Linked DNA regions of Mus musculus. The protein of the gene in region 3 interacts with the protein of the main gene of each other region in a pairwise test. Links are inferred from orthologs where the notes say so. Each region holds a gene or a part of one and is shown on either strand. Other genes may lie near its edges.

Region 1 (2,344 bases), on a different chromosome or scaffold from region 3:
CCTGTCTAGGTCAGTCAGGACAGAGACATGAAGGTGATGGCCTGGCCCAGAGGGTACTTAGGAAACCTGCCTCTGTTTCTCAATTTGTACCTCTTCATCTATCACAAGGTGCAGGGAGCCATGTAGCATCAGTGCTAAGCCCTTTGCCAGCAGCCTTTTTTGCTCTCATGGCAAAAGGATTAGCTCCCGTGCCCCACTGGGGGCCTTGGTACCTCAGGCTGCTGGAAAGTGATGTACTTTCTGATATGTATTGTCTTCATTGTGAAAGGCTAATATGCAGCTTTTCTTGAAGTTTTCAGGGAGTACTTTATGTAGCTATACCTTGCCATATGCATGACTATTGTAATGCCTTTGTTAGGCTGTGAAGGTGAATTCTAGAATCTTGACACAAGTGGACTTTGGAGTATTGGGTAAAACAAGCATACTAGTTTGTTGTCTGCATTCTCAGTAAAGACTCATGTCCGTGATGAGTCTCCTAAGTTCTTGAAGTAGCACATGTGGTTACCAAATTTTCATCTTGCTCCCTGTAATTTTTGACTAGATATATTCAACTTGAATTTTTGTTCAGAAAGAAAATACCTCAGGAGAGGGAGCCTCAGTAGTGAGGAGGATGGCCCATCCCATCTGTCATGGGCATCCCTGTGGGATCTGTTTTCCAGTCAGATTAAGGTAGCCTTTTCCCTTGAGGCCAGTGAGATGTATTATTTCTTCCTTTGGCACTGCAGCTTTGTGATCCCACTGTCTCTGTCCTGGAACTCACTCTGTAGACCAGGCTGGCCTTGAATTTAGAGACTCTCCTGTTGCCTTACAAGTACTGGGATTAAAGTCAGGCACCACAACACCTGGCTGAACCCACTCTTTTTAACCAACCTCAACTTTTGTTTTCAGGGATGCCTGCTGTCTGCAGCCCTGGCATGGTGCCGATGGCCATGCCCCCACCAGCTGTGGCTCCTCAGCCCCGCTGTAATGAAGAGGACCTCAAAGCTATCCAGGACATGTTTCCCAACATGGACAGGGAAGTAATCCGTTCTGTGCTTGAAGCCCAGAGAGGGAACAAAGATGCTGCCATCAATTCCTTGCTGCAAATGGGTGAAGAGTCCTAGACCCGCCTGTGGCCCTTGGCTTCACACCACTGACCCTTGGACTTGTCCACCCAGGGCTCCCCAGGGTCACCATCCCCACAAGATTCCAATGAAAGACCATCCACATACCCCTTCCTTGGACATCTGCGCCGCCCCTTCCTACATATTTCGGGGATGCATGTGGATTTTTGGTTCTAAGCAGGCAGTCCTCTTCATTGTTGCTGGGGGACAGAGTTAGGGGACAGTTCTCTCCTAGTCTCTAGCTGGGTGATGGTGGCATGGCCCTGTTATTGCACAGATCAGTGGTCCTGTTTGGGGACCTGCATCTCCTGTCCTCACCCTATTCTGGAAAGCATTCTTACAGAAAGCAACTGCCTCTGCCAAGATACTAGAAATTGTACAGCATCCTTCTGAGTTGATGGATGGATGGCATGGAGTTACTCAGTCCAGCTGGGATGGTTGTTGAGGGTGCACTGAGTTCATGTGCACTTACTTACAGGTTATTTTTAGAACTTTCAAGCTAAAAGCTCCTTCCCTCTTCTGATGTTGTATGTGAACATGGGCCCCTCAGCTAGTCCTGGCCAGTGAGATATGCTTCCCAGCCATATCCAGTGGGTCTCTAACCTCCTGTCTAGCTTATCTGCCACTGTCTGGCTAGGCTTCAGCCACAGAAATCCAACTTGAATACAGAAGGTATCCAGACCTGGTGCTTGGTTGGCCAGGCCCCACATTAGCCCTCACTGCTGGAGGCTGCTTTCCACATCCTCTTGTTTAGTACCAGCATCATGGGTCTTACTCCAGGGGCTGTTCTTGTTGATAGACCTTCATCACAGAGCCCAGAGTCAAGCGAAGGAGATGGGTGGGTGTGGCACTATGTGCTTACTACTAAAATTCAAGCATTGTGACACTACTGACCTGCAGTATACTCTGTGGACCCATACTGTAGCTTGGCTTGAGTGATAAAAATTCATGCTTAAATTAAACTTTCATAAAGGTAGAGGTGCCTGTACCTGACCAGTGGATATTGTATAGTGTATTTTAGGTTGCAAACCTTTGAGCCCGTGACCTGGCCATACATGTATTTAGGGAGAAATTGAGTGGTGCCTTGTGCTAAGATACAGACCGTGAAAGCTTTCTCAGAACCAGTACTGTCACAAGGTGCTGTTAGGAAGCTCCAGCATTGCCACAGGGTTATGGTGGGACAGTTTTGCCTTACATTGCCGTTACTTTTTGTTTTCTGAGAATCTGCACACCCGGTTTGG
Region 2 (2,807 bases), on a different chromosome or scaffold from region 3:
TGTCCACTCCGGCTGGACCCATCAAAGCCACCACTTCAGAGGAGACTAATGAGGCTGGATATGTTAAAGGCTTTGCAATCCCCAGATCAAAGAGGCAGGGTAAACAGTGGGCAGCGTCCAGAGGCGAGTGGCCAGTGGCCTGAGGGAACATCTCCAAAAGCTGCACTCCTGGGCCCAGTTAGCTGGCCCCATCTGACTTCAGAGAGATCCTGCCCTCTCCACAGGACCAGTTTACAATAAGCCAGAACACGCTCACGTCCGCTTGCTAGAGAGACCCTACCAAGGCTCAGGGGGACCCTCCAGGTCCTCCAGCCTCAGCTTTCATTTCAGAGTCACCCTGCTCAATTCCTGGGGATTCGATGGAATGGGCAGACCTGCTCACCAGAGGCCAGGTTTTGGGCCTCTAGGACTCCAGGGGCAGAATCAGGAGAGATGAATATTTATTCCCTTTAACAAGAAGTCTAGACTTCTGAGGCAACATGGAGACCAGCCATGCTCCCAGTTCATATTTGCCAAGCTGGGGGACAGTAGAGACGCTCCAACGCCACTCCTTGGCGCCCCCCACAATACAAGCAAGCTCTGCCTGGGGAGGTAGTGCCAGCCTTAGGCCATAGAGAGCTTTTTCCCAGGAGAAAGATACAGTTATGGTCAGTGCAGACATTTTTTATTGGTGGGAAGAGTGCAAAATAGCAACAAATCCAGAGGTGTGGCAAGGGGATGGGATCTGCCGCCTTCCCGATAAGTGAGAGTCCTATTACCAAGCAAGTGGGGGGAGGGAGTGGTCAACTCGACTGTGGCAGCTTTGGAACCCAGCAGCCTCCAACAATAGTGCCCAGACAGCAGGGCTCCTGGAAGGCACAGGGAAAGGAGATGGGTGAGGCACTGGGATGTGTATGGGTCGCACCACTGTATACCTCGGCCCTCAGGAAATCCTCACGGTTTAGGGCAAGGAGGTTTCAGGAGACTGAACTCCCATCCCACCCAAACCCCAAGGAGTTGCTTTATGCCTTAGTTTATCTCTTCCTAGTGATCAGCGAGGTTGGATCCCCAGGCTCTGTGAATGGCCCAACCGTACCCCAACTGAATAGCCCTGTCACATGATATCACATTGTGGCCACTATAGGAGCATCTGGGTCCCTGTGGGCTGACCCTTTCTAAGCCATTGAAATCAACCCAAGGTGTTGCTACTGAGGCTACCACACAAGCTGACTTTGTCATTTCCAGACAGGCAGCCTCTGTGTCCCACAGTCACGCAGGTCCAAGAGTACAGTATGATGACCAATGGGTCCTTCTGTCAAGAACCCTGACTTGGCTTTAAGCCCATAGGAGCCTTGTGCAGGAAAGTCTGGTCTGTTCAAAGGCCCAACCCTATAGTGCCGGGCCAGCTGGCACAGGTGGCCTGTGTCTGCTTACATCCTCCACACATACCTGATGACCCCACCCCACCCCATGGCGCTCATTCCCTTCTGGCCAGGATCAGAGTCAGTTGCAAGGCAGCCAGGTAGGATAGGAGTGAGCTCGGGGCAGCAGTGGCTGCATGGGGGTCACATAGTAATTAACAGTGGCTGGGACCACCCCATCTGAACCAGGACGTCGCCAGGCCAGGGCAGCCATGGCAGCAGGGCCCTGTTCAGCCAGTGCCTGGAGGGCGAGCATGGCAATAAGGTCCAGGGTCTGGCGGCGCTCGTGGCTCATGAGACACACTGTGCTCTCGTTGACCACCTGGTGCAGTGTCACAAGGCAAGCATACCGGCGGGCTGCTTCCGCTCCGCCAAAGTGGGCCTCCAGGTAGCGCTCCAGAATGCGCCTCTGTTCCACCAGGTCCGGAAAGTCGATGAAGAAACGGGAACACATGTATCGCTGGAGGGCGCGAACGTCAGTGCTGGGCCTTGGCCGGAAGCCCCGTACCAGGAGGTGGCAGTACTTGAGGAGGCCACCACCTCGGATCTCCTCGGGGCTGCGTGTGGCGATGACACGGTGCTGCAGGTGCTCCAAGGCCTCAGCGAAGTCCCCATAGAGGCTCTCCCCGGTCACCGTAGGGTGGAAGGCCTCCGACATAGGTGTGGATGAGCACTGGCCAAAGAGGAGCAGCGAGTCCAAGATGATTTGGAAGGAGTCGATGCTGAATTCGAACTGGCGTCTCACAGAGTCCACGAACTTGAGTTCCACGTTCTTACCGCTCTTGTTGGACAGAGAGATGAGGCTCCAGCGGTCCAGGTCGGTGCACACTTTGACCAGCTTCTGCACGTAGGCTTCCTTGAGTGTCAGCGGCGTTATCTTGGCCCGGCTCACTCCCGCTGGCAGGAAGTCCAGCAGGCAAGCCAGGACCACTGCCTTGGTGAGCTGGAAGGACACCTCACTCCGCAGGTCCATCTGGAACACCAAGTCCAGGTCCTTGTAGCCTAGGCCGCTCTCGGGGTGCAGCACGTGGCTGGCGGCTGAGCCATGCAGGCGCACGCTGTGTACACGCAGTCCGTGTTCTTCCAAGCTGCTGCGGACCACCTGCAGGGGAGGAGAAATGGGTCAGGCGCCTGGACCCCTCGGGTCTGCACTGACAACCGCCATGATTAATCATCCCACCATCCATCACTGCTGACCAGCTTCTGTGGCTCTGTGAACCCTTTTAACTCGCTAAGCCTCGATTTGCCAATCTGGAGAAGGGCCCAGTTGAAAGGACTGACTCAGAGGAGCAATAAAAATAACAAAGGCGAGCAGAGAACTTACTAAGCACTTTACATTAAAGTACAGCCTCACTTAATCTTCATAATAACCCGCTGAGGCAAGGTTTAGTCCTGCATCCCCGGGTT
Region 3 (4,315 bases):
TTTAATCCAAATCAAATTAATATAAATACTTAATGGGAACTTAAAAAATACCCAAGAGAGTTCCCTAACATCCTTTAGTTAGCGCAGCCTAGTTAGGGGATGCTCTGTGTGCTGACAGGAAACCAAAATGGAAATACTGACCCGGAACCTGGGAGGCCGAACACAAAACTCAAGTCTGTAACCTGTCCTTTAGATCAGTTTTTCTTTTCTTCTCGAATGTTTATTTTTATATGTGTGTCGGCGTGAACCCATGACACTCATGCGCAGGTCCCCAGGCTGAACTAGATCAGCCTCTCAGGCTGCTGTGCTTGCCGACTGGACGAAACTGCATTTACAGGACGCCACGCAAACTGTTAAATAGACACCTGACACACAAGCAAGGCCTTCGGTGTCGGACGAATCAGGAGTCCGTTCACCAAGGACCTCTCCCTCCAAAGCCTGCCCATCTACTTGACCACGCACAACACGAACTTCTGCAGACAGCTGCGGCGGTCGGTTCCTCTGTGCATCTATGAGAGCGCGTTCGGTTGCTCAGCAGATATTCTGGAACGAGGAAACGGGAAAAAATGTGATCACTGTCCTAAGAGACGTCGTCGCTACTCTTCTGGACAACTGAGCGCGGGCTAAACCACTCACAACATCTGTAGGGAGTTTTCAGGTCCCCGTAGGACGTGCCAGGCCAGGGTGCAGGTGCTGGCTGCGTCCCCTCAGCTTGTGCTGGGGCACGGTCTATCTCAGGACAGGGGGCGGGGCGCGGGGACACGGTCCATCTCCGAGCACGAAGCCAGGCGCTGGGCCCTCAACAAGAGGCCTGGAAGGACCAGAACGGCGGACAGGCTAAGGTCTGAGGTCTGGGCTGCGTCTCGCAGGCACTGTGGAGTCGTGACAGCCTGTGTTCACACCTGAATTTGGTGAGCAGAGGCGACTCACAGTGAGGAAGTCGCCCTGAGATGAGCTGACTCCGCTTTCTTTAGGGCGGGGCCGCGCAGAAAGGAGGAGCGCGCGGTGAGGGAGGGGTCGCGCAGGGAGGGCGGGGCCGCGCAGAAAGGAGGAGCCCGCGGTGAAGGCGGAGCGTTCAGGGAGGCGGGGCTAGCGGTGCGGTGAGGGCGGGGCCGCGCGGGAAGGAGTGGCTCGTGATAAGGGCGGGGCGCACGGTGAGAGCAAGGACCGCGGTGAGGGCGGGGCCGCGCAGAGAGAGCAAGGAACGCGGGGAGAGCGAGGAGGGCGGGGCCTCGCAGGGAGGGCGGGGCAATTAGTGAGGGCAAAGCGCGCGGTGAGGGCGAAGCCGCGCAGGGAGGGGCGGGGCCGAGCCCAGAGGAGGCGCGCGCCGTGAGGGCAGAGCGCGCGGGGAGGGCGGGGCTTCCGAGCAGAGCAGGGCCGCGAGCGCCCTCCTTGCCGCGACTGGCCGGCCTGCGAGGGGGCGGGGTTTCCGGCGGCGGCGCACTCGGGCATCTCCTGACGCAGAGTGGACGAACGTCACGTGACACGGAAGTGACTCCGAACAGGAAGAGGACGAGAAAAATAACCGTCCGCGACGCCGAGTGGGAGCGGACTCAGAGCCACCATGAACAGCAAAGGCAAGGCCGGGAAGTGGCGGGGGCCGTCGGGGAAGCGGGCGGGTTCGGGTCGAGCGGGCTGGGGGACGTCGGGCCTGGGGCGGTCTGTGCGGCTCTCTTCAGCGGGCCGCACAGCGCGGCCGCACCTGACGTGGCCGCCCCCCTCCACCCCCACAACGCAGCCGCTCGGCCCTCTGGGCCCCGACCCCATAAACCGTGTGGCGCAGTTTGGAGCCGCGGGCTCCTGTGTGTGGGGTGGGGGGGCTTTTCCGTGACGGACAGCGGCTGGAGCGAATGGCGAGCTAGAGCAGGGATTTGGGGAAGCCAATGGAGGGCGGGCGGAGGCGGGGCGCCGCGCCTCGGAACAACAGGCCTCGGCCGAGCTTAACTGCTGAGGTGCCGGCTCCGCTGCACGGCCCAGGCCCTCGAGGACCCGTTCTCGCCCGCCGGGGACTTCTGGCGCTTCCTCCTCGGGGCCCGGACTCGTAGCCGCCCCTGTGCGTTGCTAATGTTTGTGAGAACATGGTCGCGTTCCCCACCCCTCCACCCGCCGCCCTTCTCACGGTTAACTTCCAGTCACTCACTCTTTGGAGGTCGACCTTGACTAGGAACCCGTGAGGTAAACACTGAGAACCGTGGGTCCCACAGAGTCAGGACTGGTTACAGCACAGCCCGGGGGAGATCACCCAGAGGAGTCCCCTAAGACACCAGCAGTCCGGAGACCCCGGAACGGGTCCTCAGACCTGCCCTCTATTCGAAAGGGAACATGGCCAAGTTAGCCTCCATCAATCAGTATGCTAGTGGGAACGGCGCCTTCTGCCCAGTCAGAAGCCAGCACCTTCGGGCGCGAGGGTGCCGAGACCATCCTTATTTTCCTGGCTCTAAGAAATAAGGCAGCCTTATTTGCAGCTCTTCTGCTTGCTCCCCACCCTGTGCACCCTGGCCCGTCTAGTAGCTCTGCTTACAAACTTGTTTTTATTCAAAGTGTGCCTGCCTCTGCCTGTGTAAGTGTCTGTGAGTGTGAGTGTAGGTGCCCACCAAGGCAGAAGGTAGCGTTGAAAGGAGGTTGTGTCATATGTGGGTGCTGGGAATAGAACTGGGGTCCTCAGGAAGAGCAGCACTTTGTCTCACACACTGAGCATCTTTCCTGTTTGCCACCTCCCCTCCTAATCTGACAGACAACATCTCTCCTCCCCTTTTGTATTCCAGGTCAATATCCAACACAGCCTACCTACCCTGTGCAACCTCCTGGGAATCCAGTATATCCTCAGACCTTACATCTTCCTCAGGCTCCACCCTATACTGATGCTCCACCTGCATATTCAGAGGTACTGCAGTTTCCTAGACTTGTAGCTAGTTGAGAACACTCTTGGATCCCCTTGTTAAGTCTTCAAATCTGACTTCACAAGCAGAAGGATGCTCTGTGAATCATCTAGAACTTAAGGTGAAAATTACCATTGGAATTGAATGCAGTATCTGATTATGCTATTTGACACATGCTGACTTAAGCTGAGTTTGGGTCCCTTGAGCACAATAGTAGCTGTGGACGCAAATGACTCAGAATACTGTGTGCCAGTGACTATAACCAGTGTGTAATCTGCAAACACAAGAACTAGGAACAAGGGGCTAGAGAGATGGCTCAATGGTTAAGAGCACTGCTTTTCCAGAGGTCCTGAGTTCAAATCCCAGCAACCACATGGTGGCTCACAACCACTGGTAATGAGATCTGACACCCTCTTCTGGTGTGCCTGAAGACAGCTACAGTGTACTTACATATAATAAATAAATCTTAAAAAAAAAAAAAAAAAAAAAAACAACTAAGAATGGACTCATGAGCCATGCGTGGTGGTACAGGCGAGTAGTCTCAGCATTGAGAGGCTGAGTCAGGAGGAAGCTGAGTTCAAGGCTGCCAGTATAACCAAACCCCATTTCCAAAACCAAACAAGGGGCTGGGGATGTACCTGATTTGGTAGAATGCTTGCTTAGCATGCACCAAGCCCTAGATTTGGTCCCTAGCACAATGTGAACTGGGTTTGGTGGCACAGGCTTCTAATTCCATAGTCAAGAGGTAAAGCAGGAGAGTCAGGAGTTCAAGGTCATCCACTCCTACATACTTGAAGGCTAGCCTGAGCTACAGGAGATGGTCTCAATAATACTTAAAGAGATTCCAAATAGGAATGTCACAAAAATAATGTTTTGCTTTCTCTTCTGCTTCTTTCAGCTCTATCGTCCAAGCTTTGTTCATCCAGGGGCTGCCACAGTCCCCACCATGTCAGCTGCATTTCCTGGCGCCTCATTGTATCTGCCTATGGCCCAGTCTGTGGCTGTTGGGCCTCTAGGCTCCACAATCCCCATGGCTTATTATCCAGTTGGTCCCATCTATCCACCTGGCTCAGCAGTGTTGGTGGAAGGAGGGTATGATGCAGGTGCCAGATTTGGAGCTGGTGCCACTGCTGGCAACATTCCTGTGAGTATGCCTAACTGGGAGCTCAGCCCTTGTATACTTGAACAGTCTGAAATGACTTCATATTCATTCTCCAACCATAGTGGTCAGGGCTGGCACAGCTGCTGCCCTCTCAGAGCAGAAATGTGGCCGGGCCAATCAGGGCATTGGACACAGCCCTTGGTTTTAGAGTTAATCAGGTTGATTTGTTTTCTTGTCTTATTAAATTAGTGGCATCTTCCTTTGATCCTAGCACTTAGGGGCAGAGACAGGGGGATCTCCGAGTTTGAGGCCAGTCTGGTCTACAGAGCGAGTT

What was found. The genes of interacting proteins can lie anywhere in the genome.
Region 1: the proteins of Dazap2 (region 3) and Tollip interact in binary tests that used the Homo sapiens proteins (3 or more experiments, as listed by UniProt). The two-hybrid records come from large-scale screens. The link is inferred for Mus musculus from reciprocal best matches to the Homo sapiens genes DAZAP2 and TOLLIP.
Region 2: the proteins of Dazap2 (region 3) and Tent5b interact in binary tests that used the Homo sapiens proteins (3 or more experiments, as listed by UniProt). The two-hybrid records come from large-scale screens. The link is inferred for Mus musculus from reciprocal best matches to the Homo sapiens genes DAZAP2 and TENT5B.

What each region holds. Positions count from the first base shown.
Region 1 is NC_000073.6:141,883,126-141,885,469, reverse strand, and holds part of Tollip (toll-interacting protein), read left to right. Parts: intron 1-888; coding exon 889-1,103; 3' UTR 1,104-2,344. UniProt on the Homo sapiens protein: Component of the signaling pathway of IL-1 and Toll-like receptors. Inhibits cell activation by microbial products. Recruits IRAK1 to the IL-1 receptor complex. Inhibits IRAK1 phosphorylation and kinase activity.
Region 2 is NC_000070.6:133,485,779-133,488,585, reverse strand, and holds the end of Tent5b (terminal nucleotidyltransferase 5B), read right to left. Parts: intron 2,503-2,807; coding exon 1,483-2,502; 3' UTR 646-1,482; downstream 1-645. UniProt on the Homo sapiens protein: Catalyzes the transfer of one adenosine molecule from an ATP to an mRNA poly(A) tail bearing a 3'-OH terminal group in an ATP hydrolysis-dependent manner.
Region 3 is NC_000081.6:100,614,148-100,618,462, forward strand, and holds the start of Dazap2 (DAZ-associated protein 2), read left to right. Parts: upstream 1-1,514; 5' UTR 1,515-1,564; coding exon 1,565-1,577; intron 1,578-1,902; exon of another isoform or gene 1,903-2,175; intron 2,176-2,765; coding exon 2,766-2,884; intron 2,885-3,777; coding exon 3,778-4,023; intron 4,024-4,315. UniProt on the Homo sapiens protein: In unstressed cells, promotes SIAH1-mediated polyubiquitination and degradation of the serine/threonine-protein kinase HIPK2, probably by acting as a loading factor that potentiates complex formation between HIPK2 and ubiquitin ligase SIAH1.